2 linked regions of the Danio rerio genome follow. The main gene of each other region encodes a partner of the protein of the gene in region 2 in a complex. Links are inferred from orthologs where the notes say so. Each region holds a gene or a part of one and is shown on either strand. Other genes may lie near its edges.

Region 1 (3,110 bases), on a different chromosome or scaffold from region 2:
ATCCACTGTGGTGCTCTTTGTGTGTGTATCGCTTGTAATAGCCTGACTGGACTCTGTAACATCCAGCTGGGTTTTTTGGGAGGCCTATTTAACCACTTTACATTCTTTCGTGGCCCAATATGTACCTGCTAGGTGTATAGAAATAATGCTGATATGATCTATAAAACACAATCGGTAGTTGTGAAATATATTGAGTGGATATGTTTGTAAATCTGACTTTGAAGGACTCAGTGCCTCACTAGCCACAAACCTCACCGCGCAAAGGGGCAAACAAAACTGACATTTTGCCTACATTCCCTGCACAACATACACTTTTTTTTCTGTCATATCTCTCTTGGTAGTGCCCAATTTTAACGTGAGATTTTGAAAACCAGATCTAAATTTAGCAGGAACGGTTGGCTCGGGTAGAAAACAGGGCGGGTCGGGCAGCGGGTGGACAAAGACTGAATATACGGCGGGTGCGGTATAAAACTTGGCAGGAGTGGGATTAAAATTTCAGTCCCACACAGATCGTTACTTTGTAGCTGTTTGTGTAGCCTGTGACTTTAAATCCAAATTTTCTGCTTCGACATGTGTGTCTGGCTGGATAAAGACATGGGCTTCGTCCGAAACCGCCTACTACTCAGTAGGTACTGCATTTGAATTTAAACGTACTACTCGGCCGTTAGAAAAGTACGTTCTATACAGTATGAACGTGAAAAGTATGAATGGAATTCGGACGTACTACATCTGACCTGCGTCAATTGTGTCGCTTTACTCCCATTCATGATTTCGCTCGCGGGGCATCATGGTATAGCACAGCATGCATGGGATGCGCACTCTAGAATCTTGCCGGAAGTAGGAAGTCATCCGGGTACTTCTCGCATACTGATTTTCGAATTCTATGAATTCGGACATACTACTTGGCTCGCATACTGATTTTAGCGTACTATATAGTATGGAAGTATGTGGTTTCGGACGCAGCCATGGATGAAGCTGAAATAAGGCCACTAGTCAAAAATACCAGGTTTAATTGATGTATTTGTGGTGGAGATTATTCAAGCCTTTCTGAAACGATGAGTCACACACAAATGCCATTTGCAGTACATGCGCATATGCACACATATAATAGCATTTACTGCCACCATGAGGCCGTGGTGATTATGGCGGTTAAGAATTACATGCCGATTTTACTCTCTTTATCACAAGCATGCATGTTTTAAAAACGTTATAACCTTATAAACTTAATCATTGAGGTGCAGCTGATCACACAGAGTTCTAACATATGTTTTAATCCCAGTTTCTTTGCAGAAAATGGTCTGTTGACATGCGTTTACATGTTCTCATGAAGATGTGGCACTTGTCAGTCCATTTGGTGGGTGGGGAAAATTGCACTCCTACATCACGTTGTGGTGGGCCTTAAAATCACTGGGATATGGATCCTATTTTAACGTCAGAAAAAAAAAAAAAAAAAGAGACATGTTGGGTTTATATCACCCCAGTATGACAGTAGACGCACTACATCGGCAGACAGTTCTGTCCGAACAGCTTACAAAATTTTATTTTCATCATAGGTGCCTTTTAAACCTTCATTAAATTTATCACTGATTATTTTAGGTTCACGTAGTACTTATAAGGAATTAAATGCAAGCTGAGTATGGCTGTTTGTAAAGCATACAGCACAATCTGCAGGTAAAAACTAAGCTCAGTTGATTAGCGATTAATCAAAAAAAAATCCTAGAATAGTTTTCTCTGACAATTTTTCATCACAGAATCAACTATTTTTATGACAAAACCGTACATCACAGCTTCTCTTTGAATCTTTAGACCAATCAAATGCTCTCTAGTATCTAAAGTGTCGACCCTCCTACAAGACATGACTGTAATTTGTCATATGAAGGTTCAATATAAAATAGCAAAAAATGATTGCCAGCAACACCTTTTTTTGATCTGCCATGTTTAATGCAATCGTAATAATACAGAGAGGGTCCCCTGAAAGCAGGGCTACTGTAATGCTCACCTGTCTATGGCAAACAAACCTAAAAAAATGTATAGTCAGCATACAGGCAACTGTGACATTTGCAGTGAAGTCGTCTATACAGTGACTATTTTTTAGAGTAAATGGCATAGGGGATAAACAATTGAGACCGTGTTATATGGTTGCCTTTAGAGTGAATAAAGCATGGTTTCATGTTAACGTCACACTGTGTCTATTTTGATTGGCCAAAAAGACTATATTAAGTCAAAAAACTAACTCTCTCCATAATAACTTTTTTTTGTTGAGCTAATATATAAATTAATATTAGGAATTTGGTAAAAATGATGTGTACCACAAACTTTTGAACAGTAACTTGCAGAATAATGTAAAAATGCCACTTTCCCATATTTCTTCACAGTTGTCCAAAGGTTGGCTGTGGAAATGCAGATGTACAGGAGTCAGATCTTGAGCTGGACCTGATTATGAAGAGAATGATCCAGAACCAGAAGAGACAGAGCGGAAAAACCTAAAACTATCATGCAGATGTTATGGCTGTTCTCACTGAATTGGGAGCATGGTTTGTTCTAGAAAAATCCCTGAAAGCTAGAACTGAATGCAAATTTGGTTCATGTTATTGTTTATATACATTTAAAGTTTACATTTGTAATACAAATATTATTGCACTGTCAGTTATGACGTTTTCCAAAAATGTTTTTAATCATTCTCATATCGTCTCATCTTTTATTCTACAACCCATCATCAAACATAGGATGGCAACGATGACAAATATATAGCTTTAAAAATGTTAAATCGTTACTTAAGTTTTCAAACAATTTTTTTCCCAGCTGATGATACATTTTTGACAGAGTAAGAATGGTTTCAGGAGCTTCAGCACTAGGCATCAGACCTCAAACTGCAGCAAGCAATTATAACCAGGGCTGCACAAACTCAGTCCTGGAGGTCCAGCGTCCTGCAAAGTGTAGCTCCGACTTGCTTCAAAACACCTACCAGGATGTTTCTAGTATGCTTTTTAAAGGATGATTAGCTGGCTTAGGTGTGTCAAATTGGTCTTGGAGCTCAACTGCAGTGGACACCGGCCATCCAGGACTGATCCAATATGATGATCAATATGATCTACAATATGATTCTTTAT
Region 2 (4,186 bases):
AGTGTATTAAACATAAAACAATTAAGTTCAAAAAATCTCAAGATTTGTGTTTTTTCAGCTCATTTTAAATTTGAAAAGTTTTTAACAAACAGCAAATGTTATTTGTGAGTGTGTGTTCCTCTTTTATCAGTTAATTACATATGTGCAAACCAAAATTAATATCCGCATAATTAATGAGGATCCAGAAATTTAGGTTTATCTTTTTTAATTTTGTTTATTAATTTTAGGCTCAATCCCAAAGAATCTGTGCTTCAGATAAAAAGAAAATCTTCTGTAATACTCTGAAGAATGGTATTTGAGTAAATTAACAGCATTTTTCAAAAAGTGTTACATGGAGAACTGTTGCAAAAATTAAGTTTAATAATGTTCAACTTAATTTGTTTGTTTAAATTCAACACAAATAAATTGTTTACAACCACTTTACGTAAAAAACAAATGAGCAAATCCAAAGAATCATCTCTGTATAATTTTTTTCAGTGTGATGTGCTGCTGTTCAGGATAATAATAATTTGGACTCTGTGAGTGGTGATAATATGTTGAATAATGTTAAACGGATGTATTCCATCATCATTCTCAAATGCTGCCTGTCGTGTTTGCTGATTTGCAGGTCATTATATAAGTCAGTTATCATAATATTTTTTTTAAAACTGGGGCCCCTGAGGGCCAAATAGGAGTGTTAGTTGGTCCGTAAAATAGTTTATTTAATTATATTAATAAATACATTATATTGATATTTTTCTTGCTGGATAAGTTGGCGGTTCATTCCGCTTTGGCGACCCCGGATTAATATAGGGACTAAGTCGACAAGAAAATGAATGAATTAATATTTAATTTTAGTTTAATGCATAATCACTTACAAATAAGTAAAAAAAAAAAGATTAAAATGATTAAAGTAGATTTTGTTAAAATTATTTTTAAACTAAATAAATACAATACTATATCATGAGTACAACAATGTGATGTTGACTTAATCTAAACTAAAAAAAATTTTTCTACAAATAATATTTAACAAGTATGAAACTACATGAACTATATGCATTTATCTATTACTGTATACGTAGGCTGGTGTCTTTTAGGAAATGTACAAAAGAAAGGCAAGAAATGATGACCCAACAGATGAGTAAATATCACAAGTAGCATGTGCCGAAAAACAAAAAAGAAATGCTTCCTGGAATTTTAAGGGAAACTTTAAAAAACTACAAGACTCAACAAAGGGAAAAAAAATTGTACAGAAGGGGCAGTAATGCAACAAAAAGGACGCCATCTGCCATTGAGGACTCAAAGAAGAAGAAGAAGAAGAAGAACGCATACCACGTGGCCGGAAGTGTTTCTAGTGGGAACCCGCGAATATTACACGAACTGACAGCTCGTCTGTACATTTAAAAACAAAGGTTTGTATATGAGAAACAAACGTCGCTTTACTCGAAACACTTTCGTCTTTCTTCAAGTGTTCTGTCGTTTTATTTTATTTCAAATTTCGCATTGAGTTACAAATGTTACCATACAAAAATATAGTACATGTGTAGTACTTTTAAAATGTTTTTTAAAAAATACCACAGTGTTTTTGAACCGAACTATAGTGAAGAGTATTATACTTATATATTATAGTATATAATTAAAAGTCTTTAAAATGAAGGCTAGCTACTTATAAATAATAAATACTGTAACATTAGTATAATGTTACGTTACTTAAGATTTTACTACACTAAACTGTGGTGTATTGTAACTTAGTGGTAACGTCAAATAACATGCCACATTGTTGTAGAAAACAGTGTAACGTTATTTAGGGCTGCTCGATTTTGGGAAAAATCTTAATCACAATTATTTTGACCTTTATTGTAATCACGATTATTCAAAACGATTATCAGTTGAAGTCAAAATTATTAGCGCTCCTGAGAATTGAAAAAAAAAAATTCCTAAATGATGTTTAACAGAGCAAGGAATTTTACAGTGTTTCCTCTAATATTTTTTTCTTCTGGAGAAAGGCTTATGTGTTTTATTTTAGCTAGAATAAAAGCAGGTTTAAATATTTTGAAACCCATTTTAAGGTCAATATTATTAGCCCCCTAAGCAACATTTTTTTGATTGTCTGTAGAAGAATCTACTGTTAAACAATGACTTGCCTAATTACCCTAATTAAGCCTTTGAATTGCACTTTTACCTGAATGCTTGTATTTTGAAAAATGTCTAGTAGAATATTATGTTCTGTCATCTTAGCAAAGATTAAAGAAATCAGTCATTAGAAATGAGATATGAAAACTATTATGTTTAAAAATAAGTTGGAAAAAAACTTCTTTCCATAAATCAAAAATTGGGGGGAAAAGGGTTTCTAATATTGAGGAGGGCTAACAATTCTGACTTCAACTGTGTGTGTGTGTGTGTGTGTGTGTATATATATATATATATATATATATATATATATATATATATATATATAAATATATATATATATATATATATATATATATAGTTATTTTCCAACCTTCAAAGGAAAGAGAAATAAATACAATAGAATAAAAATATGAAACCAACTTTGCTTTAAGCATCTTCACTGTAAGAAAAAAACTTTATCTACAAAAGTCCTTCAGTCAACAGCAGTAGTGGATTTTCTCCTTGTTGTTTTATTAATAATGATAAAAACAGGCGGCACAAGGAATATCGCTCTGTCACTTTAATGGTTTCTCTTTCACGTGTCTTTTGATTCCCAACTCATTTGTTTATTACACAAATGAGGGTTAATATGAATAATCACTCTGCGTTTTGACACCTATTTGACCATTAAAGCGCTCACGTTAATGACTTAAGACGTGTGCGCTCTGCTCGTCTCAGTGTACGGATGAGACGAATGCTGACCGCATGCTTCTGACTGTGTGTGCGCTGCACAAACACACACATAAGCACACAGTCTTTCGACTTTTAATGTGTACAACTGGAAAGGCGGCGGTATATGATGCAATAATCGATTATCTCGATTAATGGTTCATTATAATCGTTAGAAGCCAAAATCGAAATCGTATTTTCAATTAATTGCACAGCCCTAACGTTATTTGATAATTTGTTTATATCACCAAAGGTGTTGTGTTACCACAGCAGATTAATTCTGCTAAATAATGTAAAGTGCTTTACTATAGTACGGGTTCCCATATTTTGTGATTTGTGTATTTATTTATTTTTTATTATTTATGCTTTTGAGTTGCATTGTGAGACCTTGATCTTTCTTCTCATCACTTTTAACCTTAAAAAGGTGGAAAAAGTGACTTTTTTAAATGCTTTTAATAGTTAAAAGTTAGATATTGTCTAGTTGTCTGTTATTTTACAGGTTTATTTCTCTATATTATTTTTTATGTTATATTATTTTAAACTACTCAAATGTCAATAAAAGTTTTATGTTGGTATATCATGTAGGTTTACTTGTTTTATGTCGATTTGAGCTCATGTTTGCTTGAGTTTGGGAAATTTAGCTTATCTACACATGTGTTTTCCAGCTGAAAAGGACATTTAGCAGTCATGTCTAGACAGATGGGTGACGGACATAGGCTGTTCCTGCAGAACATGATGACCAACGGCATCGTCAGTGCAGCTCAGGCTGGAATGCTCCACAAGAAGTGCTGCGAGCTCCATGGAGGTATGAAGAAAACACTTGCGCTGATAGGGATAGAGTTAACCCAAAAATGAAAATCCTGTCATCATTTCAAACCAGTTTGAGTTTTTTTTGTTCAGTTGTACACAAAAGTGGTGAAGCAATGGCGCAGTAGGTAGTACTGTCGCCTCACAGCAAGAAGGTTGCTGGGTCGCTGGTTCGAGCCTTGGCTCAGTTGGCATTTTTGTGTGGAGTTTGCATATTCTCCCTGCGTTCGCGTGGGTTTCCTCCAGGTGCTCCAGTTTCCCCGACTGTCCAAAGACATGTGGTACAGGTGAATTGGGTAGACTAAATTGTCCGTAGTGTATGAGTGTGTGTGAATGTGTGTGTGGATGTTTCCTAGAGATGGGTTGCGGCTGGAAGGGCATCCGCTGCTAAAAACTTGCTGGATAATTTGGCGATTCATTCCGCTGTGGCGACCCTGGATTAATAAAGGGACTAAGCCGACAAGAAAATGAATGAATGAATGAAATGCTCATTAAGAGTTACACTTTTTGCTGGAGGAAACAGCTGTGGTGACGCAAGGCAAGTTTATTTATATAGCAG

The links. The genes of interacting proteins can lie anywhere in the genome.
Region 1: nsmce1 (region 2) and nsmce2 share a complex: the UniProt entries of both Homo sapiens proteins name them as parts of the SMC5-SMC6 complex. The link is inferred for Danio rerio from reciprocal best matches to the Homo sapiens genes NSMCE1 and NSMCE2.

Annotation. Positions count from the first base shown.
Region 1 is NC_133191.1:26,965,716-26,968,825, forward strand, and holds the end of nsmce2 (E3 SUMO-protein ligase NSE2), read left to right. Parts: intron 1-2,375; coding exon 2,376-2,487; 3' UTR 2,488-2,535; downstream 2,536-3,110. UniProt on the Homo sapiens protein: E3 SUMO-protein ligase component of the SMC5-SMC6 complex, a complex involved in DNA double-strand break repair by homologous recombination. Is not be required for the stability of the complex.
Region 2 is NC_133178.1:43,206,945-43,211,130, forward strand, and holds the start of nsmce1 (non-structural maintenance of chromosomes element 1 homolog), read left to right. Parts: upstream 1-1,326; 5' UTR 1,327-1,391; intron 1,392-3,485; 5' UTR 3,486-3,507; coding exon 3,508-3,625; intron 3,626-4,186. UniProt on the Homo sapiens protein: RING-type zinc finger-containing E3 ubiquitin ligase that assembles with melanoma antigen protein (MAGE) to catalyze the direct transfer of ubiquitin from E2 ubiquitin-conjugating enzyme to a specific substrate.